Linked DNA regions of Tamandua tetradactyla. The protein of the gene in region 1 purifies or fractionates together with the protein of each later gene. This does not show direct contact. Links are inferred from orthologs where the notes say so. Each region holds a gene or a part of one and is shown in the gene's direction. Other genes may lie near its edges.

Evidence for each region.
Region 2: the proteins of USP33 (region 1) and ROBO1 purify together in Homo sapiens (affinity purification with western blotting; 5 studies listed by BioGRID and IntAct, with this or other methods). This does not show direct contact. The link is inferred for Tamandua tetradactyla from reciprocal best matches to the Homo sapiens genes USP33 and ROBO1.

The regions. Positions count from the first base shown.
Region 1 is NC_135337.1:47,720,509-47,736,618, forward strand, and holds the start of USP33 (ubiquitin carboxyl-terminal hydrolase 33), read left to right. Parts: upstream 1-6,603; 5' UTR 6,604-6,835; intron 6,836-16,110. UniProt on the Homo sapiens protein: Deubiquitinating enzyme involved in various processes such as centrosome duplication, cellular migration and beta-2 adrenergic receptor/ADRB2 recycling.
Region 2 is NC_135336.1:68,134,484-68,150,593, forward strand, and holds the start of ROBO1 (roundabout homolog 1), read left to right. Parts: upstream 1-6,345; 5' UTR 6,346-6,858; coding exon 6,859-6,913; intron 6,914-16,110. UniProt on the Homo sapiens protein: Receptor for SLIT1 and SLIT2 that mediates cellular responses to molecular guidance cues in cellular migration, including axonal navigation at the ventral midline of the neural tube and projection of axons to different regions during neuronal development.

The DNA.
Region 1 (16,110 bases):
CCATCAACAGCTGAATGAAATAACAAAATGTCGTATATATGCCCAATGAAATATTATTCAGTCATAAAAGAGAAATGAAGTTCTGATGCATGCTAAAATTTGGATGAAACTTAAAGACACCATGTTGAATGAAATAAGCCAAATACAAAAACACAAATACTGTTTGACCTCTTGAATGAAATACCTAGAAGATGCAAACTTCATAGAGACAGATAGTAGATTATAGGCTACCAAGGGCAGAGGTAGAGGAGGGAAGTAGGAGAGAGAGTTATTGCTTAATAGGTGCGGAGTTTCTGTTTGAGGTGATGAAAAAGTTGAAGTAATAGATTCTGTTTATGGTAGCACAATATTGGAAATAGAATTAATAATACTGAATTGTACACTTAAAGTTGGGTAAAGTGCTAAATTTTGAGTTGTATATATGTTACTACAATAAAAAGTTAAAAAAAATGAATAGGATCTGTAGAAAGGAGCCTTCCTAGGTTCCATCCCTTGAGTAGTCAATCGACAAGTCTACTGATTTTATCTCCTAAGTAGCTTGCATAGACATCTCCACTGCCATCTCCTTTAGTTCAGGCCCTTATCTGGATTCTTCAATGTCTGCCTCTACTATCTCCCTGTCACTGCCATAAAAGGAATCTAGTTGTAAATCTCATCATGTTGCTTCTTTTCATACTTCCTTTCTCATCATTTTCTTCATGTTTTCACTAGAGGGTAAACTTTACTTACGACATGGACAAAGTCACTCATGATTTTACCTCTCTGTCACTCTACCCCCCACTTTCAATCTCTACTCAGGCAATATTGAACACTTTTAGGTTCACAAGGGCACCATACTCTCTCTTGTTTCTGTGCCTTTGCCTATGTTGTTACCTCCACCTAAATTATCTTTCTTCCCCTGGTCCATCAAAAATCTTCTTATTCAGCCTTAAGCTAGCATTGACTATCTATGATACTGGATCTCTCTTGCCCCCTCCTTTTTTCCTTGGAAACTTCCCTTCCATTCACCCATTTATCTGTCACTGGAGCTGTCTAGATATTCTGCTGCTGTAGCTGAATGTTCCTGGGCAGACATCTGACTCATATGGAGATAGTGTATCCTTTCTTTGAAATTTTTTTAAAACTAGGGATCCTGCTTTTGGAGAAAATTCTAAGATAGTATCAAAGAAAAAATTATACCCAACAATATTAAACAGGCAAGGATGACTTTACTCAAAGCTATATGCAATAGGAAAGAGAGACTAGAAGACTATTGTGGGGAGAGAGAAGGAGAGAGAGAGAGAGAAGAAAGTTATCACAATAGTGGAGAGAGAAAGGGCACATCTTCACTGATGCACGAGAGCTAATGGAAGAATACTGGAAGGAGGGATCAAGCAATGAAGTGTGTTGATTGCATGGAGTTATCTCCTATAAGCCAGGTTGAACATGTTTGTGCCAGTTTGAAATTGTTATGTACCCCAGAAAAGCCATGTTCTTTCAATTCTGATCCAATACTGTGAGGCCAGACCTATTGTTAAGGATGGAATCTTTGGATTAGATTACTTCCATGGAGATGTGGCACATCCAATTGTGGGTATAACCTTTTGATTAGAGGGAGATGTGACTCCACTCATTCAAGATGATTCTTAGTTAACTGGAGTCCTTTAAAAGGGGAGACAATTTGGAAAAGCACAGCTGCTTCAGAGCCAACAGAGACGTAGACATTTAGAGATGCTTGGAGTGCCAACAGAGAGACCAGAAACCTAGACATAGATCTTTGGAGATGCAGAGCCCAGCTGACTGACATTGTCATATGCCTTTCCAGGAGATACTTAAGCAAGCCAGAACCCAGAATTTTGCCCTGGAGAAGCTAAGTGAAGCCCACAGAAGCTTAGAGAGGAAACAACTAGAATCAGGAGCTGGAAGCAACGGAACTAGGAACAAGGACCAACAGATGCCAATCACATGCCTTCCCATGTGACAGACATCAGCCTTTCCTTTGGGGTCAAGATATCTTTCTCTAGATGCCGTAGTTTGGACATTTTTATGGCCTTAGAACATAAACTTGTACCTTAATAAAACCCCTTTTTAAAAGCCATTCCATTTCTGATACATTGCATTCTGGCAGCTTCAGCAAACTAAAACAATGTTCTATCTGGATTCTGTAAGGGACTAGGAGAGGGAGGTCAGGGATCAAGAGTTAAGAAGAAGCCTGAGATTTAGTCAAACTAAGGAGAAGTTAAGGCCATCCTGGTCAGTTACACAAAAGAAAGGGAATTTCTTAAACTTTGCTGTTTTCTAGGATTGCAGGATTTGGGTAAAATTCATCATTTTAATGACAACCCAAGAGGTGAAAGATGAAGAGATCATGAGAGAGTCCTAGAAATGGTTGATTCTTTGTTTCTAGTGATCTTTCCCTGGATTCTATGAGCCAACAAATACCTTTTCTTTTTTTCACCTAAGACAGAGCACCCTTACTGATATGTGCTTCAAGTGGGTTACGGGCCAAGATAGTGATCCATGCTGGAAACCTCTCATTGCTGGCATTCTTGTCTGTTGATCCTGGTGTATTATCATTTTCTGTCTGTGCCATGATTTGAAAGAAGTTTGAAAAGCACTGGCCTAAACTGAAGCAGTGGTATGAAACTGGGGATGTTTTAGCATTCCACCCCCACTCCCGACAGGAAGCATTTGGCAATGTCTAGAGGCATTTTTGCTTGTCACATGGGAGATGCAGTAAGGAGAAGGGTGGTGGAAGGGAGCTACAAGCCTCTAAGGGTAGAGGACAGAGATATGGGTAAACATTCTACAGTGCACAGGAAAGCCCCCATAACAAAGGATTATCCAATCTAAAATGCCAATGGTACCATTTTTTTTAGAAACTCTGAGCTGGAGTTACTCTAAGAGCTAACAGATGATAACTGAAACTCTTGGCAGAGGCCCTGAAAGTCAATGCCAAGTACCCCCACATCCAAATCAAAGGTAGTAGACTACCCATGGAGTGGGTACTTCTCCATTATCTCAAGCCAAATTCAAGAGAACCATTTGAGAAATATGATTCCCTTGGAATCTTAGAGAGACAAGGCCTGGTAACTGACTCACATTTGAAAAACCCTAAGTCAGGAGTCTGAGGCTTCCTCCAAGCAGAAGATGTACACAGAACTGATTAGGAATAACCTACACTTCTGAGAGAGGTGCATGTGTCCTTATTGTGGGCCAGGTGAGAAGCCCTGGTAAGAGAACAGATCTGGGTCATCTTGAGAAAGACAGTTGAATTGGTTGAGACGAAGCTGACTCAGAGACGGTTCGCTGGAAACCAGTGAGGCTGAGGTGAATGTTATAAGTGGCCAGCTAGAAGATACATTGCTGAGCTAAGGGAATGTGGGTTTCCCAGTGATGCACCTACAGAGGCACACCAAAAGAAAAAGGTAAGCTTTGGAGCTCAGTTATACCCAGAGGATGCCAAAACCAGGCTAAGACTTGTCCAGTCCAGAAAGATCCTTTCTGTTCCTAATTTTCTTCCCTCTCCCCTTCTCCAAATCTGAAGGGGCCCAAAATGAAAGTTGCCCTACATAGCAGAAGTAGATCAAGTTGAGATCATGGCAAAGAATTTTTAAACTCAATGAGTCTGGGATTTTTTACATCATGCTGAAAAGGCTTTTTTAATAACTGGTGGAAGAAGGGAAGACAAACAACCATTTGCTTATTACAAGAAAATGACTGGAGGACCTTTTAATTACTTGAGAAAGCCTGGATAAGCTAAGGGCCTTGCCTAAGATTTTGTCCTAGGTGTAGGGAAGGATACTCAGAGATTATCAAGGACAATAATGAGGAAGAAGAAAATTGGATTCTGTTTGCCCCCTACCAAATCCAGTTTGTTCATTGAATTAAGAGCAACAGTTTGATTGAGCTTCTGCCACCTATAACCAAAAACATATAAAGCCTCAGTTTAAATCAGGGTTTCTCAAAATTTGAACTAATGACACTTTGGACTTTGTTTCTGTCACAGTAACACGAAGAAATGTGATTAACTCCTTCCACTGGTTGGCTCACCCCAACCCAAAGAGACATTGCCAAAATCACCCCAAGTTGAGAACCTACAGATATTTGAGTTCTTCATTGCTGGGCTCTGGAATATTGTGAAAAAGGCAGATATGGTATGGCTCTTGTAGAGCTTACAGTTCAGTGAAGGAGACAGGTAAAAATCAAGTGTATAAAAAATCTCAATATAATTAAAATATGTATAAATTCTCTGAAGGAAACAAACAGAATTATGAAATGGGAAATAATGGGGTGAAGTATGCTATATTAAACTATGAATGGCTCTTTGAGGAGTTAGCCAAGTGAATGAGGGATAGGGGTTGGATGTATCTGGTAAATGTGTATCTGACAGGAGGGAATCACATTCGCAAAGATTTAATAAGTTTCAGGTACTTGAGATCAAAATACATGTTTTGTGCATTGCTGTATTTACTTGCCATTACTCAGTTCAAACACGAGAAGTTTTGTTTTGCTGTTCCCATTAAATTTTTCTTCCTTCTTGTCCTCCCTCTTTCTCCCCCTCCTACTTTTCTCCACTTTCCTGTCTTCCCGCCCTTCATTTCTTTTCTTCCCCCCTGCACAACTCGAAGGTATACAATTCATATCATCTTCTACATGAATGGCAGCACCCGAGAATCAATGTGGGACTCAGCTAGGCATCCACTCTCCTGGGCAGAGGCGTTAATTGATTTATTTCCCCCTTCTTATAGCTGGTCAAGAGTCATTGTTAGAAGAGAAATAAGGGTGGGAAGGGAAGGTGGGAGTCCATGGGAAGTTAAAAGTGGTAGTGGTAGTGGATTGTTTTAGCATGAGTGTGCCTTGTGAGGACTAGAGCTGATGTTCGGTGAGAGGCACTTGTCCAGGTACCAGCCGCACCTGCCTTGAGCAGCCATCGTTTGCCTTCCTTGTGCTGATAGTAACTGAGAATGCCCCCAGGACAGGTAAACCCAAAGAAGATTTACCAAGCAGGCGGTGGGGATTTTTGGATCGAACTTAATCTGCCAGAACACTGTAAGAACAGGACACCCCTGATATATTTTCAGAGCAGGAATTTCTGGACAGGTGAGTTTTGTCTATTTATCTATTTTTTTCCTTACTGATTGTGGAAATATAGAGAAGTTATTTGTACATGAGCTCTTTCTCAGTTATATATATTCCAAATATCTTCTATTGGGTGGCATGGTTTTTCTTTTCTTAATGATATCTTTTGATACAGATATGAGTTTTTGTAACTCCTAATTTGGGGGAGCAAAATTATTTAGTGATGGAAACATTCCCAAACCTTTTTCAAAACGCTTTATCCATTGCAAAGTTTCCTTTAAAAAAATAGTTAACTTTCTTGCTTCTAAAAACATCACTTTTTCTTTGAAGCCATAGCTTAAACAAGTGCATTTTAAAAATTTTTGTTAGGTTGCAGATTGCTGACAGCCACCTGTCATCACAGGAGAAATTAGCAAATTTAGAAAACGTTTTTCTAAGAAACATATAAAGCTCTCCTTTAAGTTAAACAGCTCTTAAGTACTTGGCCACGAAACAGCAGAAAAAAAATGATTTGCCTGTCTCTTTATGGAGGAGTATAAATATTTAAAACATTCAATGTTTGATTTTTTGAAATAAAATTAACCACAGTATTGACTTACATATACTGCAATATTTTGAAAAATGCTGAAAATGAAAGGAGGAGTGATAGCACCTTGGGGAATTCTCTGAATTGTGAAACTTTCATTCTCCCTAAGTGAACCCATTTGTAACGATCTGAGGTCTTATTGTCAATCCCTATATAGAATGTTGGTAAGGGTTAATTTCTTCCCTTTTACAATAAAAATAAATTTAAATTGAAACTTCACAATATTTTCTACCTTGTCTTGATGGAGATTGAGCATCTTGAGCAACACTTGAGTTAATGCTCCCATTTTGGAGACCAAAAAGTTAGAAAGACAGATTGAAGCTGGCAATGTTTAACAGTAATGTTTACTAATTTAACTGTTTTTAGTGCTCACTATTCAAAAATCACTTGAATACATTTTTACAGTTACAAAATTAGAAGACCGGTCTCTTGTGATGCTCTAGGCATTAAGCAGATACTAGGGTTTCAATAAATACTTGATATGATCTTGATTTTGGCTTAGGGAAACTGATAGAGATAAATATCTTTGCAGAAGTTCAAGAGGGAGACACAACAGCTTTTAGAGAATCTAGGTCCTAAAAGGTTGGGAGAAGAAAAAGGAGAGGGAGGAAAACAGTGCTAAATTTAGATAAATCTAGTATTTATTTATTTAAGGTCGGAAATCTGAGGCCCTTCGGCGACCAGCCTTCATGCAGGTTCTGTAATTCATCGAAACAAGGCTTTATAACGGTTGTAGTGTGAATGTATAAGAGGGGGAGAAAACGTGTAAAATAAAAAGAATGCCCAGAGCCTTAAACTGCTCTGCGCTTGAAACAGTATCTATTCTCCTAACTGCTTCTGAAGTTCCAGCTGCGCGGGCTGATTTCAGTGTCCGTACCTGGGCCGGGCCTCCATGTCCGGGCTCCGCCCACAGGGCGGGCTCTCCACCTGGCCACGCCCCTCCCCGCCCTCTCGCGACGCCCCAGACGCCTGTGGCGACCGCCGGGCACCGGAAGGAGTCGCGGCTGTTGCGGGAAGTGGCTGGTTCGGGCGGAGGGGATCCCGCGGGTGGCGCCGCGAAGCGGTTTTTCGGCCCTCGGGGCTCGACACCGCTCCACTTCGAGGCCAGGGGAAGAAAAGTGCTTGCGGAGGGGCGGCCTCAGGTCACCGTTGGACGCGCTGGCAGGGCCTGAGGGGAAGGCCGTGGAGGTGAGCGCGGCGCTGTTGGGAGGGGCGCGGGGCCGAAGGGCGTCTCGCTCGCCTCAGGGGGCCGGTCTCTGCTCTCTCTCCCGCGCGCGGGTTATCCGGCTTCTTTTTCTTGGTCCGGGGGTGATGGTGGTCGCGCAAGCCAGACGGAGGCCTCGGCTTCTTAGTCCTGTGTTGCTGGGATAAGCCGTGGTCGGCGGAGCACCCGTGTCAGTCGATGATTTGGGGAAGGGTTCCTAGGGGCGCTCTCCTGGGAAGCGGGAAGGGTGAGGCGAGTGCCGAAGAAGGGCTCTACTCTTTGCCGAGTCTCGTCCCGGCCCCCCAGGGTCGCTGGCCCCTCTTGGTGGGCTTAGACTACTGAAAGCCGTTGGACGCGCCAACTCTGGTTCAGGTTTCGCTTTGCGGCGCAATCGGGGTCTCCGTCCCGATGTGGTCCCAGCGGCCCCGTTATTCATGGTTATGAACGGGAAAGCCTAGGTGTCATCGTCCCTGGAAATTAATTTTCTTTTACCAGTGTTTGATCCTGACTGTTGCAAAGATTACCCTTATCGCACCTTTTGTTTGGGTCAAATTTCCATGGTGTGTGGTTTCCCAGACCGTTACTGTTAAATGTTTTCCAATTCCAAAACGCTATTCATTTGAATATCTACTGGGTGTAAACTGAGCTTTGGATGAGATTATTCTAGGTGTTTTAAACTTAACTGTTTTGGGCGTCCACATTCTCCTATGATCAGTATTAGGCCTGGAAAATTGAGCCAGATGGTGAAATTATGGCAGGAACATAGACTCTAAACTGAGGGTGAATTTTATCACAAGAATTCCGAGAATTCTTGCTAAATAAATCTATGAGTTTGTTTAATCACATTAGTTCATCTTAAAATTTTTGTTTTGGAAAGTAATGAGGCTGTTCCAATTCTGATTCTGGTTGAGACAGGGCAACTGTGTAATCTGGAAAGTTTTCACTAAATCGGATTATCATAAGAGGTTATTTTTTTCGAATTTATAAATATTGTCAGTTCATATTCTTACTATAAATAAGGGGATTAGTAAAGACTTTCTTTTTTAATTTTCTTTTTTCTTTTTTAATTTTTTAATTAAAAAATAACAAGCAAACACATTCTTATGATCATTCTGTTCTACATATATAATCAGTAATTCACAATAGCATCACGTAGTTGCTTATTTATCATCATGGTCATCTGTTAGAACGTTTGCATCAATTCAGAAAAAAGAAATAGAAAGACAACAGAAAAAATTTCATACATACCATACCCCTTACCCCTCCTGTTCACTGATCACTAGCATTTCAATCTAAATTTATTTTAACATTTGTTCCCCCTATTATTTATTTTTATTCCATATGTTTTACTCATCTGTTGATAAAGTAGATAAATGACCATCAGACAAAAGGTTTTCACAATCACACAGTCACATTGTGAAAGCTGTGTCATTATACAAGCATCTTCAAGAAACATGGCTACTGGAACACAGCTCTACATTTTCAGACAGTTCCTTCCAGCCTCTCCATTACATCTTGACTAACAAGGTGATATTTATTTAATGCATAAGAATAACCTCCAGGATAATCTCTCGATTCTGGAATCTCTCAGCCATGGACACTTTATTTTGTCTTGTTTTGCTCTTCCTCCTTTTGGTGGAGAAGGTTTTCTCAATCCCTTGATGCTGTCTCAGCTCATTCTAGGATTTCTGTCCCACGTTGCCAGGAAGGTTTACCCCCCTAGGAGTCATGTCCCATGTAGACAGGGGGAGGGAAGTGAGTTTACTTGTGTTAGCTGGAGAGAAAGAGGCCACATCTGAGCAACAAAAGAGGTTCTCTTGGGGGTGACTCCTAGGCCTAATTTGAAGTAGGCTTGACCTATCCTTTGTGGGGTTAAGTTTCATATGAACAACCCCTCAAATTGGGGGCTTAGCCTATTGCTTTGGTTGTCCCCACTGCTTGTGAGAATATCAAGAATTCAACTTAGGAAAGTTGAATTTTCCCCCTTTCTCACCATTCCCCCAATCTTGCAAATACTTTTAGTAAAGACTTTCTTTAAAGACTGCTAATTTTAAGAAAAAATAATAGTAGTTACAGTGTGCTGGGAGCTTTAGTTATTTCATTTACTTTGCCAGGATTGAAAATAAAAGAACAGTATGAAAAAATACCCCAGAAATAAAGTATTTGAGCTCCTATTGTGTGTAAGAGGTATATAGTCTATTAAGGATAGCTGCTTCTTGTTTTTGGTCTGGTTTATTGATAACTTTCACTTTTTTCTGTCCATTCTGAATTGTTTATAATTTATGAACAAGCAAGTCCTTTTTATATAACAGAGCAGTTTAAAGGCTTTAGATTGTGCTAAATAGATGCTTTCAAATACCTGAAATTCAGAGTTAAGGAAATAACTCATAGTTATGTATTGCTAGTAGAATTTCCAGTGACCTTTCACATATGCAGTCATATTTGATCCTCTTGCCAGTCCTCTGAGTTAATTATGTTAAAGTAATGTCTTTCCTTGTGACAGCATTTTGCGATTGTGTAAGGATCAGAATTTCTCTAAAGCCTAAAATCTTGTTGAAGCTGTCTTTGAAATAAAATGAGATTCAGATTAAGATATTGTGAACTATAACAGACCCTGGGCTCCTCACAAGAAAATGAAATACATAAAATGGTGAAAGATTATTGGTTAAAAAAACAAACGTATGTTAAATGTAGTCATTTTTAAAAAAGAATTAGCAGCTCTATTTCTTTAGTGTTTAAAACATTTTTAAATATTATTTTAAAGTGCAAGAGATTTCAGGAGCAGCTTGGTAAGTAGAAGAGCTGCAGAGAGTCTGAGATGAGTACATTTTGTTTCTTTTAACTGTCTTTAAAGAGCATCATGAGTTATGTACAATGTAGTATGTATATATTAATGAGAATGAGTATTTAAGAAACAACATGTGTTTCAAAATAAATGTCCTTTCTAGAAGTAACTTTAGAAGGCTAAATATAAATAGAACAATGTGAGTTTACCTGGACAAGACCCTTTGGAAATAAAAAGAATGAAACATGGTTTCTATTGTTGAGATGCTTTATAGTCAAGCTTGAGGTCAACATATGTAATATTTTACAAAACTACAGTAAGTGCCTTCTGAGGGTTATGGATTTCTTAAGGAATTTAGGTGAGGAAGATGCTGCTTGTGGTTGGGGCTTAGTGGAGATGGCATTTGAGAGGAGTGAGCTTCTGAAAAGTTTTCAACAGATTGGTATGATAAGACATTTCTAATATGAAGAGATTATGGAGTTCCTGGGAAGTTAAAGCATCATTAGAACAATTTGGCTGATAATAATGCATGGTTTATGTAAATTAGTGAGAAGATAAAGAAGGGCCAAATTATGAAAGATCTCATTGAAGGTGTTTGATAATGAGAGGAATGTGAATCATCTGAAAGCAAAATGGGCTGTAATTGTTATCAAGAAGAGAAGACCATTTGACTATCCTTAGGATAGCAACATCAGTTTTGTGGCCCTTGTGGTTTCTTTGAAGTCCTCTCAAGTGTATACCTCAAGGATAAGGATATGCATGCAGGTGGAATTGCAGAAACACAAGTGAAGATGTGGGTAAAGTGATTAGGGGAAGGTTAAGAGCCACCTGGGGGGCTTAATCCTGTGGAGATTTTTGTAGAACTGTCTCAGAATTATCGTATCATGTGAAGGGGAATTTGGGGGTGGGAAAGAGAGTAACCACCTACTCTTGACCTTCACTGATTGAGATTACCCCTGAAAATGCCTGATTGGACAACTGCTAGTTATCCTGAGCTGAGCAAAGTCCTGAGATGCTGGAAAATTTAAAAGAAGCAGAGAAGTGGTTGAGGTGTGAAGCTGTCACTGCCTAGAAACAAGATGCAAGTGAATACTGAGATGACCTAAATAAAAGCCTCAATTTAGGTAGATATGTAGAAGAGATATGAAATGAGGCGAAGTGATGAAGGCAGAGCAGTAGAATTTGGTAACTAGTGGAATATGGAAAGTCAGGAGGAAATCTAATATGGCATTGAGGTTTGGAAGTTAGGTAACTTGTCAAGGGAAAGGGTTTTCAGAGGGTCACTGATTTTCAAATTAGGTATTTCTTGAAAATCAAAGAATTGGTAATAGAGTAGAACATGAAAGACTAATCATTCAAAAAGAAAAGGATAGGGGTGGAGACTTGAACAGTGCTTCCACTCCCTCCAATTTTTATGGTACCTAATCCATACTTGATTGGAACATTCAAGTGTGCCTTTGTTAAATTAGTCTCTGTATTCTCAGGGTTTAGCATAGTCCTGAAATAAGTAATATGGTAAAAATAAAGCACTATATGTGACATGAAGTAAAGAGGCCATTTTTCTATTGCTCTTAGCTATTTCTAAAATCTAGGAGGAGACATTTCTAATAGTTTTAGTGGAGACATTATTATTTTTATTTTTTTTAATTAGAAAAATTGTCACATGCCTTTTTTCTATACATGGTGCACAATCGGTGTCTCACAATAGCATCACATAATTGTGTATTCATCACAGTGATCACTTTTTAGAACATTTGCGTCACTCCAGAAAAAAGAAATTAAAAAACCAAAAACTCACGCATACCATACACCTTACCCCTCCCTCTCATTGACTACATGTATTTCCATCTACCCAGTTTATTTTACTCCTTTCCCCCCTATTATTCATTTATTTATTTTTATCCATGTTTTTTACTCATCTGTCCATACCCTCAGTATAAGGAGCATCAAACACAAGGTTCTCACAATCACATAGTCGCATTGTAAACATATCTTTATACATTCCTCTTCAAGAATCTAGGCTACTGGAACACAGCTCAACAGTTTCAGGTACTTATCTGTAGCCTTTCCAATACACCATAAAGTAAAAAGGGATATCTATATAATGCATAAGAATAACCTCCAGGATAACCTCTCAACTCTGAAATCTCTCAGCCACTGAAACTTGATTTTGTCTCATTTCTCTCTTCCCTGTTTTGGTCAAGAAGGTTTTCTCAGTGTCTTGATGGTGAGTCCTGGCTTATCCTAGGCTTTCTGATTCACATTGCCAGGGAAATTTATATCCCTGGGCGTTGTGTCCCACATAAGAGGGAAGGCAGTGAGTTCACATGCAGAGTTGGCTTAGAGAGAGAAAGGCCACATCTGAGCAACAAAAGAGGTTCTCTGGGGGTGACATAATTTTAAGTAGACTTAGCCCATCCTTTGCAGGAATAAGTTTCATAAGGGCGAACCCCAACATTGGGGGCTTGGTCTATTGATTTGGTTGGCCCCACTGCTTGCGAGAATATCAGAAATTCTCCAGATGGGAAAGTTGAACACCTCCCCCCTTCTCCCCATTCTCCCAAGGGAACACCACAAATACTTTCTTCACTGCCCAAATCACTCTGGGATTTGTTGGGGTATCCTACCAATCTGTACAAGCCAATAAAATCTCCCTATTCAAGATTCTGTGTACTTACGGTGTCAAACTAAACTGATCATAAAAGTTAAATTAGGAAATGCACTAACAAAATATAAATTTTGCACCAAATAAACATCTTACCTTTTTAGTCTCATCTAGAAGTTGAGGTTTTAAAATATGGATATCATCCTTTACCCAAACTTCTAGTATACCTTAGTCCTATCCTTATCAGCTTCATTCATATATCTAGTTGAAGTCTGATCCCTTCTTCAGCTTTTTAAACAGTTCCTGTATGAGGTATTGTTCACTTTCACAGCTTCAGGGCTCTATTTCTGAGTCTCAGGTGTCACATAAGTACCCAAAGTTTCTGGGAAAGACCATGTTATATACAAACAGCTCAGTACCTCAGAATTTATGTATGTGACTGCTGTAAGAGCTTATAGTCTAGGACACTTTACAATAAGCCCCAACCTGATAACCCGTGCTTGCGACTTTAGTTCACTGAGTAGTTTTTATATTATAGTTAGTCCATATGATTGAGGCATGAGAATATTTGTCTTTTTTTCCTGACATTTCATTCAACATACAGCTGTTAAGATTCATTCACCTAGTTGCATGCCTTACAACTTCATTCTTCCCTGTGGCCGCTCAGTAGTCCATTGTATGTATACACCATAGTTCCCCTTTCCATTCCTTAATCGTTGTGTTCTTAAACCACCCCCATTCATTGTGGATCAGGAACACTGCCACCATAAACACAAGTGTGCAAATGTCCATTTGTGTCTCCACACTCTGTTCTTCCAGGTATATTCTGAGCAATGGGGTTTCAGGATCATGTGGCAAACCAACCCCTAGCCAGTGGGGGCATTATTTAGATGACTAGACTTTGATTGTTTTTATAGTCATCAGTATTATAATTTGGTGAAAAAAAAAGAAGATTGACAATTTTTCTTAGAATGATTCTCATTTGAATATGGTGACCATTTTTTTTTCCAAGTTTTTACATGGTCTACGTAAGTATTTGTAATGGCTACCTCATAATACTGATGCCCTGCCATTTAATTACCCCTCCGTATTGTTCAGAAATGAGACTTTTAGGGTGAAAATTACCATCAGCCTGTTTGAACCATTATTAGAACTTTATCATGTTCTCTCTTCTCTTCCTCTCTCTCTTTCTCTCTGCTGTCATGGTGTCTGCCATAATTTTTTCTACTAGATGTGACTAGAAATTGACCATGCTTAACCATTTATCATTTTTATAGTATGTTTGTTTGCTAAAGCTGCTGGAATGCAATACACCAGAAATGGAATGGCTTTTAAAAAGGGAATTTATTAAGTTGCAAGTTTACAGTTCTAAGGCTATAAAAATGTCCAAACTAAGGCATCCAGATAATGACATACTGGTTCAAGAAAGGCCAATGTATCCAGGACACCTTTGTCAGTTGGGAAGGCACATGTTGACATCTGCTAGCTTTCTCTCCAGACCTGTCATTTCAAAAGGCTTCCAGGGGGCATTTTCTTTCTTCATATCCAAAGATCTCTGGCTGTGTAGGTGTTGAAGCTTTTTCCAAAATGATTCCTCCTAAAGGACTCCAGTAGTTGAATTAAGACCATCTTGAATGGGTGGAAATACATCTCCATGGAAACCACCTAATCAGAAGGTCTCACTCACAGTTGAGTAGGTCACGTTTGCATGGAAACAACTTAATCAAAAAGATCCCAACCAGCAATTTTGAGTCAGAATTAAAGAACATGGCTTTTGTGAGGTACACAACAGTTGTAAAGCAGCACGTAGAAATACGGGTTTTTTTCTTTATAGGAAATGTTAATTGGTATTTTTTACAGATCTTAATTAAGCTGTTTTCTCTGTTAATCGTTTTAGTTTCCTGGCTGTTAAGTCAAATACCATACATGGCTTAAACAGTAGGGATTTAGTGGCTCATGGTTTTGAGGCTAGGAGAAGTCCAAAGTCAAGGAATCATCAGGAAATGCTTGCTCCCAGAAGACTGATGTTCTAGTGCTAGCTGCCAGCAATCCTTGGTCTTTGGCTTATCTGTCATGATACAGTGCATATGATGGCCTCTCCAGGCTGTTCTTTGTGACCTTCCCTATAAGGCTTTCAGTAATAGGAGTAAGGCCCATCCTGATTCAGTTAGCTCACACCTTAACTGAAGTAACCTCACCAAAAGGTCCTCTTTACAATGGTTCATACCCACAAAAATGAATTAAGTTTAAGAACATGTTTTTCTGGGGTACATAGCTCCAAGCTACCACAATCATCTAATTATGTTGATGGCATTTTAAAAGTTTTGTATAGGACATATTAAGTACCCTAATACTCTAGTACCTTTATTTGAGTTAACAGAACTAAAGTGGATATATTCTTTTGTGTTTTACTGTTTTCCTATTTATAACTTCCTTGTGTATTTTCCATAGATATTTTTTAACTTTTTATTTTGAAGTAATTTCAAATTTAAAAGACAGTTGTAAAAATAATACAAACCTCACACAGAGAACTCCATAACAGTGCATTTCCTGTAAACCACACATAAATGGATCATGTTTTTTCATCCAGTCTGTCATTTGCCGACTTTCAATAGGAGAGTTTAGTCCACTGATATTTGAAATAATAACTAAGAAAGAAGAATTTATTTTGGTCATTCAACCATTTCTTTTCTGTTTATTTTATATATTTTTGTTCCTTAGTTACTCTGATTTCTTTAAAAAAACTTAGTTGCCTTTTTTTTATATGTTATATGGTGGAGGTCACATTTCATTCTTTTTCCATCTGAGTATCCTGTTTTACAGTGCCTTTTGTTGAATTTTTGTTTTGTTTTGTTTGTTTTTTTGTTGTTTGCTTACTTATTTGTTTTGGGAAGTGCATGGGCTGGGAGTCGAACCTGGGCAGGCAAGAATTCTACAGCTGAACTACTCTTGCACTCCCTAGTTGGTTTTTTATAACATGCCACTTTGATTACCTTCTTTCATTTACTTTATATATTTTAGTTATTTTCTTAATGGTTACCTTTGTAATTACCATGAACATTTTAATCTAATAATGACCTAGTTTGACAAGCATGCAGATTTTCTACTTCTGTATATCCCCATCCCTCCCCCTTTGTATTGTCATTGTCTCAGATTACATCTTTTTTAAACTTTTTTTATTAATTAAAAAAATTAACAAACAAAACATTAAGATATCATTCCATTCTACATATACAATCAGTAATTCTTTTTTTTTTTGAATTAGACCATATTTTTTTTTATTAATTAAAAAAAGAATTAACAAAACAATTAGAAATCATTCCAATCTACATGTACAATCAGTAATTCTTAATATCATCACATAGTTGCATATTCATCATTTCTTAGAACATTTGCATCAATTTAGAAAAAGAAATAAAAAGACAACAGAACAAGAAATAAAATGATAACAGAGAAAAAAAGATTATACATACCATACCCCTTACCCCTCGCTTTCATTTACCACTAGCATTTCAAACTAAATTTATTTTAACATTTGTTTCCCATATTATTTATTTTTACTCCGTATGTTCTACTCTTCTGTTGATATAGTAGCTAAAAGGAGGAGCATCAGACACAAGGTTTTCACATTCACAGAGTCTCATTGTGAAAGCTATATCATTGTTCAGTCATCATCAAGAAACATGGCTACTGGAACACAGCTCTACATTTTCAGGCAGTTCCCTCCAGCCTCTCCGCTACATCTTGAACAACAAGGTGATATGTACTTAATGCATAAGAATAACCTCCAGGATAACTTCTCAACTCTGTTTGGAATCTCTCAGCCATTGACACTTAGTCTCATTTCACTCTTCCCCCTTTGGTCGAGA
Region 2 (16,110 bases), on another chromosome or scaffold:
TTCTGAGGACTAAATGAGTTATATAAAATACTTAGATTAATATCTCTGGCACATAGTGCTATATAAATTTTGGCTGCTACTATTATTTTTATTATATTAGGCACTAGAGATACAAAAAGAAAAAATAATAAGTCATGGTTCCTAGACTCCTGATGAGAAAGTGAAGATACGTATAATTTATTATTTAAATAATAATATAATATGTGTAATACTATACCATATCTAATGATGAATGTATTCTAAAGGTGGAGAATCTCTGATTACCCTGCTTGGGTTGAAAGAAATATTCTCTAGTAATATAAAGGCCTGGATGCTAGTTTTGAGTTAACCCACTAACTAAAGGAATATTCTGAATAAAGTTATTTCTTTAGACTTCAATTTTCTTATTTAAGAAAAGTTGATCTTGAAAGTTTCTTTTATTATATATTTCAATCTCAGTCAATAGTTCTAATCTCTTTGCTCCCAAAAAAACTTATCCAAATATGTATATGCTTATGTAGTCAGAACCTTGTTTTTTAAGTCTTTGAAATCCACTGAAACATCTACTCCATGAATGAAATTCACTTTACTTCTCTACTAGTTGAAATGGATAAATGGTTAGACTATGCATTGGAGAAAATATAATCTAGAACTACCGAAAAAGTTTCCTTAAAGAAGTGTTTCTCCAAAAGACATTAATAGACAATGAGATAATAATCACTCATCCAATAAACACTTGTGTACCTATTAAGTGCCAGGCACTATTTTGGATACTAGGAATATGAGTGAACAGAAGTCATGAATCTCCTGCCTCATGTGACATTCTAAGAAGAGGGGGGAAATCAATGAAAACACATAATTAAATATGTCCTATCTTAGATGGGAATAACTGCCCTGGAGGGGGAAAAATATAAAACATGGAAGGGGTATAGAAAGTATTGTGTAAGGATGTAATTTTAAAGTGTGTGGTCAGAAATGGCCTCTCTAAGAAAGTTTTATTTTGTTAAAACCCTAGGGAAGAGAGAGCATAGGTTTGCAGATTTATGGGGAAGAGCACGTGCAAAAGCCCTGAGGTAGATGCTTGCCTGCTATGGTCTGGGAATAGCATGGAGACTATTGTGGTTGAATATAGCAAGAAAAGGCAAGCAAATGTAGGAGAAGATGATGTCAGGGAAGTAAAAGGGACCAGCTCATGTAAGGCCTTATAGACTTCTGGAAGGACATGGGCTTTCCCTCTGAGTGAGAAGTGGAAACTATGGGAGGGTTTTGAACAAAGAGAAAGGCTCTGACTCAGATGCATGATTTAACGGGTTCACTGTAGCTGATCTACAGTGATCTTTTTTTGTTTGTTTGTTTGTTCTGTTTTTTTAATATATATTTTTTGTATTTTTATTTTTTTCTCTATATTATCATTTTATTTCTTTTTCTGTTGTCTTGCTATTTCTTTTTCTAAATCGATGCAAATGTACTAAGAAATGATGATCATACATCTATGTGATGATATTAAGAATTACTGATTGCCTATGTAGAATGGAATGATTTCTAAATGTTGTGTTAGTTAATTTTTTTTTTAATTAATTAAAAAAAAAAGAAAGCCTAGAAGTATTGTTACTTCAGTTAATGGACTTTCTTGATAAGGAATACTATATTGCTCATTTTAACACTACGTTTTCCCTTTAGTAAACTAGCTTATGCAGTTTAGTCAGGAGATTGAAGGTGTGAAGAGGTATGGGAAATAAGGGGTATTATTACAGAAGTATCGTAGTCTATAGACTGAGCACTGTGTACTAAAGAGACAGTGTCTCCAAACTATTCTCTCTTGGAAACTCTAACTGCTTTGGGAAAAACCTTACATTTGTTGAATGCAGAGTCTCCCAATTCTACTCCACCAAGGAACTTCTTAATTTTTTTATTATTTCCCCCATTGTGCTTTGGTTCAAAATAAGATGGGTTCAAGTTTAAGCTCTATGGTTTCTGGGCTTCTGAACTTTGAGTTGATCATTTACTTTCTGAACCTCATCTATAAATGAGATAATAATACTCATGGTGAAAATGCATGATCATGGTGAAAATTAGATCAGATAAATTTTGTTAAGGGCCCAAAATAGCATTTTTCAATAAATGCTACTTCCCTTTGTCCTCTCCTTTATCTTCAAAACTAACCATCTGTTAACATTAAAGAGATGAATTCTTGTGAGATCCATCGTTACTGAAACTTAAGTTTCCACAGTCAAAGGACCTTAGCAGTATAGATTAAAACATCTATGACGTCCCCAAGATGCTAAAATGCTAAACAGCAAGGCAAGTACAGTAAGTATTGGGTATATCATAGTTGACACTTGAATGAGTCTTGGAAAACCTGAAAGTGGAGTTCACTGTTGGGTGAGGGGAATGGGACTGTTTCATCATTTCCTGGTAACTGTACCTTAAGTCTTAGAAGTAAGTGAAGAGTGGTAACCAATAAATCTCTTCCTCCTGTGGTTCCTGATCCCGGGTCACCTAATTCTGTGTCCTAAAATGCAGGCAAACAAACAAAAGCAGTGCTCTTAAAATGTACCTTGTTCACATTTGAAAGAAAGGGTCTAGATAGACTTTATCCTATTTCCTGAATAGGAATAAGATTACACGCACTTTAAAATCTTACCTAGCATCTTTTTCTTTTCTCAGTACTCTAACCCTAACTTATTCCCCCCTTCCTTGCACTCCTATTGCACATAAAATCTCTATTCCATTGTGTCAATTTATTGCAAGGGATTTGTTGCTATCTCGTATGACATCTAAAATCAAGCCGGGCACACAGTAGATGTTCCAATAAGTGTGAATTTATTTTCTCTTTATTAGGGTTACTTCAGGGTAGTTTTTAAAATGGAACCTTCCGAAAGTTAGAAAATTACTCAAATATTCAATTATTCAACTTAACTAATTGATTTAGAGGCCAAGGGCTGGGCAAATTATTCAGCAATTTCATGTAAAAATGCTAAGCCATCTATCCTGCCCTCCGGAGGGGGAGTAGACGACACAGCTTTGGTTGTACTATAATGTGTCATGCTCACCTCAGCAGACCTGCTGGAACTTCTGGCTTGAATCCCAGGCACAATTTGGTTCTAAGAGTTCTTGCTAACAGGTAAAGAGAAAGAAATACCCCTGTTTGCATTTTCCTTAGGAATTCCACTCTGGTCTTCCTGATCTAGGTAATTGGGATCGGGAATTCCTGGAGAGCCCCTGGGGGTTGTGGTATTTCCTGAGTTCCTGCAGCTACTACTCCTATGAGAGACAAAATCAGAGCAGAGCGACCTCAAGAGATCTTTATTACTCTAGAAGCCCTTATTCACAGGACTGCTGAAGAGTGTTATTTCAGGTTTCCTCGAAATTCTCAATGAGACATTTTAGGAGATTTGAATGTCATAGATTCCAACAGAAATCAGAGTTCTAGATAGGACTTCTGAATCCATCACTCATTCAGATCATAGTGATCAGACATGGGTTCTTGAGGTCAAATTAAAATACATTCACCTTAGTTTGCTTTACTCTTTACTCTTTCTTGCATATAGTTGATGTTCACTAAGCATTTGTTTGCATTGCCGAGGGTGATGAGTGAAAGGCAGTAGTAGGGAAACTTATCAGGTACACTAGGCCTTCTTTGTCATAATATATCCTTAAAACCTTCTGAATACAAATTCTTGTCTTCAGATGTGACCAGTTGTGATCATTGTCAGAAGAGTACACTTTGGATGGGACTAGGGAAGAAGAAAGGGCCAACTCTTGGGTTGGCCAAGAGTTAGTTCCTTGAGGGTTCTTTGCCTAACTATCCTACATAACTTAATCTCTAGGGGGTGGAGCAGACTAGTTGGAGGCAAGAGATGTTGCTTACTGAAATTGAGAAATAAAGGGGAAATTAAGATAGTTTCTATCCATTGACAATGAGATGCATGGTAAAAGAGATCTTGAGATATCTTAGCAAACTTCTGGAGACAGAAGATCTACTTTGGGGACACAATACAATTGGGATCCCTTACACATATTCTACCTTATATTTTAAAGTTTTACTAAGTGAAAGTTCGAGATCTATATTTAAAAATGCACTCAGATCATATGACAATTTGAAGAATCCTTTCTCTCAATGAAGTACCATGCTTTAACTTATTCATTTTTTATTTACTAAGTAAGCAGACATATCTTAAAAGCACATCTTGGGCAGTGCGATGGTTGGCTCAGTGGCAGAATTCTCGCCTGCCATGCTGAACACCTGGGTTCAATTCCCAATTGTATGTTTTTTACTTAATATGTTTTCACAGAGACCAAATCAATATATATTTTCCAGCATTCACTGTATAGTCTTGCATTTATTGCTAGAAAGATTTTTATTGGAGTCTTTGAGTTCTTATCTCTAGCTTGTTTACTGAATTTCCAGTCAGCTTTCTCAGGATTAAACTATCACATTCAAAGATATGTGTTTTGAAGGAATTCCTTTCCACAGAATGTGACTCTGAGGGCTTTGTTTGTAAAAGGAGCAAACAAAATGAATGTATGATCCGCTTTTAAATTTTTCTATTTCATTATATAATGCATGTATTCACTTAAAAAAAAAAGAAAGAAAGAAAAAATAATAAAATCACAACATATAAAAAAGAGCAAATCCACCCAGTTCCACTTGTCCCGCAATTATTCTCTCCAGAGATGACAACAGTAAGCATCTTCTGGTATATCCTGTTAGATAACAAATTATGATTTTGAAGTTGTTGTACCTAACTTAGTAAGTAATAATTTACTAAAAAGTAAAATAGCTTTAAGTACCATCATCTGCTGTTTCTTGGGCACTCACCATGTGCCAGGTGTTTAACATTCAGTTTATTATTTAACAGAAAGAAAGAAAACGGAATGAATGGATGGATGGAGGAATGAATGTAAGAACGTCCATCAGGTGTGTCAGGTTCTTTTGATTTGGGTAAGATTTCTTAATACAATGAAGTATTTCGGGACACCCTATTTTCAGAAGAAGAAAACCTGGACTTAAAAAGAGTTTAATCAAGGTGGCATGTTCATAGAGCTAATGACTGCTAGGTGGGACTTAAAAGTCTGTGTTCTGGGCGTGGACACACGTGCTGGTTGGTTTTGAAAGGTTGAATGACTGCTCTTATAACCGCAAACTTTTGCTCGGGTGGTAGCCAAGATTGTTTTCCCGCATTTGTTCCTCTTCCTAAAGGCTTCCCATTGGTAAAATTCTAATATGCTGAATCTATAAAGTCAAAGTAGTAAATCTCGTGTGAAACATAGATTAGGAAAAGACTCCACGGCCCACCCCTGGAATTGCATAGCCTTTCTACATCACCCTCAACAATTACAATTTTAAATAAGAGGATTATTGTAATCGAGTGCCCATCTACTGATATGTTCTAGATAGCCCTCTTTCTATTTCCTGTCCTGAAGGTTTGATAGTTCAAATTTGATTTTTTTTTTTTTTTAACGGAGATAGAGCGGAGTGAATGTAGAGTTATTTGAGAGTTTATTCCAACCCTTGGAAGCGGTAAAGAAGAGGTTAAACTGGACCAGGGGAGGATTTTTTTTTTTTTTTTTTTGAAGTCTTTAGCTGGGAGGTTCCATTTGGAGAAAGGTGCAGGGGTGATAAGGGTGGCGAGAGAAACACGGCAAGTTCCCATTTGCTTGCATTTCCGAGCCTGAACAATTTGATTCTCACCTGAGGGCGCAGTTGGGCACCTCTGGCTTGAGGTTGGAAATATTAACGAGAAGAACTTGCCTGACTTGCGCCTGAGAAGGGTATAGAGTGAGGCCGGGAAAGGACTGTGCGGCCCCTTTAAGTATTCTCGGGCCAGGGAGGAGAGGGAGGAAACTGGGAGCCGCCGGGACCGTGGGGAAAACCCACAAGCAATTGAACCGGAGAGGAGGCAGCGTGAGAGCTGAAACTTCAGACCTTGCAGATCCCCGCGGAGCCGCGGCGGCCGTCGTTCCCACTGGCAGCAGCATCCTCCAAGCCCTTCGCCGGGGAAGTCGTGGAGGCCGGGAGCCGCCGCTTCACAGCTGCTGCTGAGAACCAGGGGTGCGGGTCGTCACCCCTCAGGAAGTTTGGGCTCCTGGGTCCCTCCCTTGGAGTTTGGGGTATTGCGTTCGCGCGCCCCAGCGGGCACGGGGCCGGGGACCATGGTGGGCGCCGCACGGGTCTGCGGCTGGGGGCGCCCAGGAGGTGTGCGTGTACCCGCGGACCTGCTGCTGTCCCCAGTGCCCGCTGCATCCCCTAAGTGATGGGAACAAGGGCCCGCCCAGAGAGCCGCTGTCTCCGCACCGCCCTCTCGCTTGCCCCCTCGGAGTCACCCAGGCACACCCCCGGCACCCTGCGCCGGTACTCCGGGGCTGCTAGCGCTGCCTTGGCTGCTGTTGTCGCCGCCGCGGGTGGCCCGTTGCTGACTTGGCTTGCCTGTAAGACAGAGAAGCACTTTTTGGCCCTCCCTTAATCCGTTCCCACACCCCAACTTTGCAGCCGCCGCGCCCGCGGCGCTCGGGCGCACAGTGTGGGGGCGCGCGCCAGGAGGCTTGGAAGACAGTAGAGGCAGGAAACCGCACAACTGCTCTTCTGCTTTGGCTCTTTTGTTGCTGGCTTTGGATGGTCCCTGGAAGTGGCCGAGCCTCCTCGAAAAGCCCGGGACCGGAGGAGGCGAGCATTGGAATTCTTCGTCCGAGAGGGCTCCGAGACAGTGACAAGCGCCCGGAAGGGTAACAAGTAATTGCTTTGAAAACTCCTGGCGGATTGACCCACGTTGCTTATATTAAGCCTTTGTGTGGGGTGTGTGGCTTCATAAATTTGGGGACCCCATTTCTACTTCCTCCTCTTGGCATGAGACTGTATGCAGGAGCCACCCGAGGACAATGATCGCGGAGCCTGCTCGCTTTTACCTCTTTGGATTAATATGTCTCTGCTCAGGTAACCCCGCGACTTCTTTTTTCACCCCTGTTCCGCTTTGCACGTCCCCTCCCCACTTTTCAAAAATCAACTCCCGAATTATTTGAACGACCTCTTCCTTCTAAGGCCCAAGGTCTCGTTCTCTGCAGAGTTTTAGGCTCGACTGTTCTTAGTTCGCACTTCGGGTCGCCCCTTTCTCCTCACCACCCAAAAATCCACCCCCGGAGCCTCCTCGCGGACCTCGGCTTCTCGCCAAGTTCAGGGCACTCCTGAACACGGGGTAACTGCACTTCTGAGCGCAAGGGTAGGAGGAGGCAGCAGTTGGCAGTGAGCTTGAGCCCCTTGGATGACCCAAAATGAGTTTCATCCACCAACTGGTTCCTTTGGGGAAGGAAATGTGGCCCGGAGACCCTCCAGGATTCCTTAACCTGGTCTTCCAATTTGCCCCTCCTTTTCCTAGCACTAGGGGTATTTAGGAGTTTAATGTAACCAATATCTGTAATTAAATTTGATTCTGAAAAAACGTAAGGAAATAACTCTTTACATAAGGTATAAACTAGCACTGCCTCACTGGTTTTAGAAGAAAAACAGGAGTTTGCAAGTATCGGAAAGGGGACAGTTTCTCGCTTGGGGATTCTCACTGGCAAGGGAAAACAGGGGACTAAATTTAGGAGTTTTAGGATTAATTAAATGTTCTAAAACTCTCCAAATGAAGTGTTAGAAAGAGCCTGCACTGGGATCCTTCTGACATAAAAGTTCACTCTGTATCTACAATTACGAATAGTTTTCTTACACTCCCTAAGAAACTTTTACTGTGGGTGAACTAAGCCACAACTCAACTTTTCTTTCTTCCCTTTTGGTAAATTCTGTTTTCAATCAAAAGTTTAAGGGATCCGATTTCAGGCTTTAAACACACGCGCGCACACACACACTTCCACACACACACACATTGCACATCAGATAATTTTTACAGATGCATACTAACCATTCACGTTCCATCAGGGCTGCAGGTTCAAATCATTCGATTTGCATAATTATGAAACAGTTTTGAAAGGTTGGTTTGAGGTTTGTCTGTGTGTGTGTGTGTGTGTGTGGTTTCTGGCCATCACTTAAGCTTTCAGCAAGGATTTTACTTAAGCAAAGTAGTTCATGTAATATGAACAACAAAAAGAAAGCAAGACAAAACACACCCACATCAGCTAAATAATAGCAAACAAAACCTTAAAAGAATTTCAGCCTGTGAGATGTGTTTCCTGGCTGAAAGTTACAAGGAACTGCAAGTAGACAACTAGACTAAATAAGAAATTCATTAATTTGTTATTCCTTTGAAGAAAATAGCCTCTGGTATCTCAAATATGTCACAGTGGATGAATGAGTAGATCAACTCCCTGGAACTACCTTTTCCCAGTTTCAACTTCCCCTTTCTATAAGGTAACTGTTTTTTTTTAAGTTTGAATATCTCAATGATTGAATAGTACCCCTCCCACCACACTCACACACACACACACACACACACACACACACACACACACACACACACACACACACACACACACACAGCCATGGATGCAAACCAAAAACATTAAGATCTGATCTCTATATTTGCTTCTCTTTGCTGTGTCTGCCCCTAGTTTAATTTACAGCTTCAGATACCTTTGAGATTATTGTTGATTCACCTTCTCAGTTAAAGTTTATTCACGTGTGTAAAGTGAAGTGTCAATGTGATAAATGACAGGAGGGGCAGATTACTGAAGATAGGGGGATTAATGGTCATTAGTCACTGTTTGAACTGAGTTTGTATATGTTGGGACATTTTATCATGGCTATAGATTAAAGATAGGATTACTCTAATACGATATCACTGAAAGCTGGTCATGTCAGTGTACACATTCTATCTTCACCTGGAGAAATATCTAGTTGTTATACTGTCCTATCAGATTTAATAATTTGAGTAGGAGGTACTATCTAAAGTTTGTAATTTGGGTACATCTGAGATATCTTTATAATTGAAGAGCTAAGGTATTTCTGAGTTTGTTTTGTAATTTAATTTTCTATTCAAGCCATTGATAGTTTTATAAGCCTAAATTTTTTCCTGCAAACGTGCTTATCTACGCCTGCCAAGCTCCAGACCAGAGGTGTCTTGGTGAGGTGCTCCCTCATATTTCACCTAAAACTTTTTATCATTCATCCAGTGACTTTCACTCATGCTGTGAATCTGGACTTGGAAGGCCTAATTATTGGGTTTCTAGAATGATTTTTTGGCAGTTTACTCTTTAAAGCAACACAATTCACTTGAATAAAACTACATAGAACTCAGATAAGTAACTAGAGTTGGATGTGCTCAACACACCTGGCCAGTGAATGAATGAAGTTTTTGAAAGATTGTGTTTCATGTCTTGCCTCAAGCCTAAAGTCACAGTCTATCACTTGTTAATGGAGTGTATTTAAGAGAAATGTAGCGAGCTTAAATAAATCAAGGTGTACTGAGGGAGTAACGGATCTTCAACAAGATTTAACCTGTAAAAGCATCGATTGGTTGGTTGTCAGGCCTTTTGATTTTCCGTTTAAAAAAAAAAAAGAAACTGGCTGCCTATTTAATAAAGTCCTGTATTTTTCTTCAAACAGATTACAAACTCCATTTGGATGTGTTGATGTCATACTGAATGCCAGATACTCATTTAAGAGTGTTTACTTTCTGTAGCCATTTATTTATTAACCTAATGCTATAATATATGACTATTTTTATTCCATGAAGCTATGATTTGGGGAAGATGTAGGTATTTCTAAAGCGTGAACTTTTTCATCAGTTTGTATATTGGTGTTTCTTTCTGTGGATAGTTAGAGGGTATTTTTGCGGGGATGGGGGGTGGGGATGGCAACTGAAGTAAACCTATGTGATCTCTTAGGAACTAATTCTAAGCCTTCTTCCTTCATAGACTCCCTCTCCCCTCAAATCCATTTGTTGAAACCTGCTTGTATGTGAAAAAGTTATTGAATTTCAGTTTAAATTTAGGATGAGATCTGAATTTCAAATAAAATGAAAATCTGCTGGCTCTTCTCTCCTTTTTCTTCTTTTTCTGTTTTTATATATGTAGGGGGTCACTTTTCTTTTGGGAAGAGGCATTTGTTTTTTAGATAAGTTTCACTATATAAGCCACTTTTCTGGGTCTCAGTTGTCACTCAACCTTTTTTTTTCTTTTTTGTCAAAATGATTTGGTAATTCCAATAAGACCAGGCTATATTCTTTAGAACATTTTTGTTCTATAAATATACATGTCTGAATAGTGCTATATCTTTAAAATTTTTTTTCTTGATAATGGGCTCTCGAACACATTTATATATAAAATGTCACATAACAGAAAGTTTAACCAAACTCTTTCCTAAGTCTTTGCTATCACAAATGAAATATTCTTGTGAGTTAAAGTGGTACGAGATGCTGAATTTCCAACCTACAATGACAGTTTATTATTATTAATCTTCACATTCAGCAGATATATGTGATTTAAATGCTAAGCAGCAGGAGTAAAACTAGAAAGAAATGTAGGGTAACCATTTCCCAGTGAAAATCATTAAGTGGTTGAGTCTTCATTTGGCATATTCTGTGTTGATAAGAGCTGCTAAGTAATATGTATGTTATTTTCTGGCCCTTATAAAAATGTGTAATTCTCAAAACAAAAATGCAAACTGCACTTTTAGCTTGGTTTCTTATAGGAGAATATAGGGAAATTAAATGTTGTCTTTCAATTTAAAATTAGGCCTGAGGCAATCTATAGGATACAATAAGAAATTTAGGAATAAGAAATAAAAAAAAAACTGAAAAGTAAAACCAGAAGCAGAATTCAGGAGAAGTGAAGTAGAAAATGAGATCCAGAATGAAGCCTGTTTTAAAATATAGGGAGGAGGTAGAGTGGAAACAGACAGAGAAACCAAATCTAAGTTCATTCTCTGCCTACACAGAGCACTAGAAGCAAATCCCAGAAATGGATTTCTGAAAGAAGAAGATTTATGAAAAGTTTGTATATTGAATATCTAGAACAGCTGTATAAAGAAGAAGCCATTTTACATTTTTAGAACAATGGCAATCTTAAAACATCTAAATCTTTGATAAATGGATATGATAGATTTTTTAAGCTACATTTAATAAGATTTTATAATATTTACTTCCTCCTTTTATAAAAAGAAGTGAAAAACTAAGTAATTATCTTCCAAATCATGAAATTTATGCTTAGAGAGGATCAATACTGTGTAAGAAGGAAATATTTTTAAAATATGAGGTCAAGTTCACGTTTTGGGGGACAGTAAGAAACTTTTCACTCACTTTATAATTATGATTATATTTGTTATAATATTATGAAGACATAACTATCATTTATCTTATTTAATATTCATAAGAACTTTATGAGATATGTACTGTTATTGATAAAATATGACTTTATCCTTATTTGTAATTGTGGAAACTACATTATAGAGATGTTAAGAACTGGATGAGCAAGGATTTGAACTGAACTGACTCTAAAGCTCTTAACCAGTCTTTTCTTAGTTGCAAGAGAGAAATGATGAATTTAAATTAGAAAGATTATGATTCAATTTTTTTTATTTTAAAATTTTATTTTCAAAAATTTCTGCCTAAACAAGACTGTGGTTTGAATAGAGAGTTTGGGAAAAGTAGTATTATTTTTGTGCCATTAAGAAAATGTTTAGATGACCAGACACGTCAATGAATTCTTTACATACAGCCAGCTCACTTTCAGCCTTTGTCACGGCTGCATTTTCTGGTATGCTTAGGAGACCGAACAGAAGTTGAAACATTCATTGTCTGCTGGTACAACAGAATATGGGGATTCAAGTTGTATTGTAGAAAATGAATGCCATTCTCCTTCATGCACACTTCATGCACACTTGAGGAAGATTTTGTGCTGAGTCCTACGGAAAATGATTGGTACTCAGGGAGAAGCCAGTGGAGAGACAATCTTCCCCCGTGGTTGTCACTACTCTCTCGGATGTGTCTGGGCTGGTGATTATTTAGTAGTGCAGGAGCCTCCTGCTTGACTGCTGTTCACAGATGCCTCACTTCATAGTTACTGATCATGGAAAGGTTGAGCTTTAATACCTGGTTGATCAGCTGGATGGAAACTACTTATACATAGCCAATAAAGTGGCCATCCTGTGGAGATCAAAAGGCCACCTCCTTTCTTTACCATTCTGGATTAACATGGCTTTCTTTTCCCCTTCTTCCACCTTCATCATTTTCCTTCTTACTGTTGAAGAAGAGGAAGGGAGAAGATTACAGTGTATAGGGAGATAGCTTTGATCTCCACTAATTTGCTTTTTCTTTCTCTGCCCCCCACCCCTCACCCCCAACCAAAAGGCTATTTCTATCTCTGGAAAGTGTCACGTTGCTTGCTTCATGGGAGAGCTTCAGCCTCATTTCCTTTCAGCCCAAATAGGCTGCCACAAATCCCCTTCTTGTGATTTTACTTGGCTTCCAAACATCTTATGACAATGTTGTTCCACACATAAAATAATATTTTGAACAGCACGACTGTGCATATCTTTCTGACTCCATTCAGAGAGAAAACTACCTCTGCAGTGTTCACAGCTGTCCATGGCTTAGGGCCAGAAAAGAATATCTGTTTATTTTATTGCATTTATTTACTTTATTATTTGGAAGAGTGTAGAAGGTAAACAATTGTATTAAATGTTTCAGATCACAAGTTTGATGCAAAGTAGTCTGTGGATTTAATGCCTGTCACTAGTTTGATATCTAAATGAAGTGTTAAAAGCACCATCACGGGACACAAGCAAGTGACAACAAAGCAGTGTGATTCTGTGTTAAGTAGCAATATATTCTTTGTATGTCAAATGATTGATTTGTATGCATATATATGAAATATTAAGCTTGAGTTCCTAATAATACAAGTTATTTTAGGAATCTATGTTTTAAGTCATGTTATACTGTGTCTTAAGTGGAACAAGGTTTTTACTAGAAAATAGTGCTTTAAGGCACTTCTAGCAAGAGCAGTTTGTGGGATGCTCTTGAGCTGTTTTGAAAGGGTATCAGGCTCAAAGTTTGTGCCACCTATGTTTATGCTCAACTCAACTGTGCAACCCTAAGAGCCATGGGCAATTGTTCTCAGTCATGGAAAAATCATGGAGTCCTCAGCATTTTCCCCCGAAATTATTTGCAAGGGATCCTACTTGAGAATACTAGAGATTTAGTTTGCTCACCTCCCCTGCCCCCTCATAGATTGTTCTTTTAATGTGAGGCATACATGTATCTTAAGAGTAATAAAATTGTCAAATATCACCATTTACTCTTTGAAATTAACTTCAGTTATACGTTATCTCATCAAGTAATTTAAAATTTTAGTGAACATAACAAGAGATAGTTGTGATATTACTGTAAAATTCTTTGTAGCACGTTATCTATGGTTATAATTTATGCACCATTATGGGAAAAATATATCAGCGTGGTAAAGTCATTGCTGGATTTTAGTAGAATAGGAAGATTTTAACTTTTCTCTGCTAAAGTGACTGAGAAGTATGGATGTCAGTGGCAATCCCAGCTAGAGCAGGAAAAAAAAGTGGGGCCAAAGAATAAGTGGATCAGGACCCAAATATGTGTTTCAGTATCCTTTGACATCATATGGTACTAATGAGCTACAATATGCCTCATAATTTGCTTTCTAAATTTAACCTGCGTACTGTTGTATTTTTATTTTAGTTTATGATTTTTTTTCACTAATGGTGGGCTAACTTTTATTTTGACTAAAGAAATGTTTCTGTCTGGAATTCCTCACCTATAAAATAAATGTACACCTTTTAGACTCATAGGTCTAAGGCTGATTTTGTTTACTCAGGTTTGATTTAGAAGGTAACCTTTATCACTCTGAAACTTCACTAAAATGGTGCTTGTCCATATAACAGAGTCCGTGAAAGCACATTTGTATGTGTTAACTACACACCTTTCAGTAGTTTTAAACTCCTTTACTTGCCTGGTTTGGGAAGTAATTTCAGTGTCTCCAAACCACTCAATTAGCAACTTGTCTGAATAAAGTAAACTAGCTTGTACAAGCTGTGGAAGATAAAACTCATCTGTTTTCCCCCCTCTTATCTCAAGCGAGATGAAGGTTTTCTAGCAATCTGGTATCAATTGTGGAATTAGAATTTGCTTAAATTAATGAAACTCTTCAGTAATGTGTTGCTAAAACCTAAACCTGTAGAGTGAAAATATAAGAGAGGCAGAACATTTGCTCTGATATCTGTGCAAAGGGAGAAGGACATTCACTGACAAGATAATTGATGTTAATACAGGTGTGTTAGAGTTGAACAGAAGCAGTGTGAAGATAGTTTTTATTTAGATTCAATATGCCCAGAGAGGAAAATAAGTGTTTTGTGTTTAGTCTTTTTTTCACTATGGGCCATTCAGTCTCAGGAAGTCATTACTTCTTAGGCACTTATATTCAAAATTGCCCTTTCAGCATTTTGCATTTGACATGTTAATATAACATTTAAATTCACATGGTTATTTGAAAATATACATTTATTGTACATGATAAGGAAAAAATCCAAGTGACCAATTAAATGGTGAACTGAAGCACTGTAGGCACAATTATAAACACTGACCCTGAAGACTAGGAATAAATAATAATAATATTACTAATATCTGTAATAGTAATAGTAATCATAATAAAGCCTAAAATGTACAAGGTGCTTACTATCTGCCCGGCAGAGTACTACATGCTTTATCTTATTGGAAAATTAAAGGCAACTGCCTTCGACATGAATGCATAGCTCTTATCTCTGTTTAGCAATGTAAGCAATGAGATTCAGAGAATTAAGCTGCTGCCTTGACTGGTCAGTCAGCTAGTGCAATGGAGTGAGAATTTAAAACCAGCCTGTCTGATCCCAGAATTCTTGTTTTTCACCATTATACGGACACACTAAAGTTAAATGAACACAGATAAAACAGTATAAAATATGGAAATAACAAGAGTAAACTGTTTTTTAATGAGGAAACTAAGTTGTAGTACCAAGCTGTTTTAGTTTTTTTAGAAGTTAGATTTTCATGATATCTGATTGTCTCCCTCTTTTCTGCTTGTAATATGATAACCCTCCCCCCCAAAAAAGTGCACCCCTGGTATCACAGAACATAGGGCACAGAAGTTTAAGTCCAGCCCCATAACATGGTTTAGTGGAATTTAGGGCTGTTCAGTTTGTTGAATAAATTAAAGTTAGAAAGAACCAGATCAATCAAGTTTTATGATGGTTCAATGTTATAAATAGTTTTCCCTGTGTAGGAAGCATCTTTTGAATCTAGGTTCTCTAAGACTTCTTTTGCCTTTTGCTTTTGAACAGTTTACTTAGTGATAAGATAATAATAGTAATTCAAAAACCTATTAAGCAGAAGCTTCATTAGAATCTGATGACTGTTCCTTAAAGATGATCCTTCTCAGAGGGCAACTTTTATAGAAAACTAAGTAGTATTAGTTAATGTGATTCCTGCTGGTGAAACCTTTGTGAGTCTGTAATAGCTATCAAAAACAAAACTGCCAATGATAGCCTTCAGAAATGATGTGGTTGTTTTTAGAAATGCTATTCGTTGCTTTTACTCTTTTAAAAATACATGTTTGACTAAGACTCTTCTAGAATATCTTAGGTATGATTTTCTCAGATGAACCCAACAGTCTTCCAAAGTAATTTCCAAATGTGTAGATGTGATGGTATATTAAATTTTCTTTTCTAGTTCCATAGTTTTGTGACTTTATTTAAGGCTTAACTGAAGATTGAAGCTTTTCCCAGTTCCTTATTTCTGACTCACTAATCAAAAGAGTATCACACCTAAAATTCTCCCTAAGATGAGACCTGGGTTCTTATTATTAAGGTTTTTACTCCCTGTGTTAAAATATACTTCATAATATTGCATTTATTTCTATATATTTATTTCCTGCTTTGCAATTAGTCATTCACTGGTGTTTGATAATGCTACTTGTTTATTATTATTATTATTATTATTATGTTATTTATCAATAACATTATTTCATCTCTCAGTAAACTGTTACTATCAGTGTCTTATCACTGTTTTATCAATCATGATAAAAGGTTATTATTAAGCAGCTGTCAACTTATTTTATCAGACATTTTAGAGAATGCTTCAAGCATACCTAATATGGTGTAAAAACTTGTAATACAAGATCTAGGTTGTATACACATATATG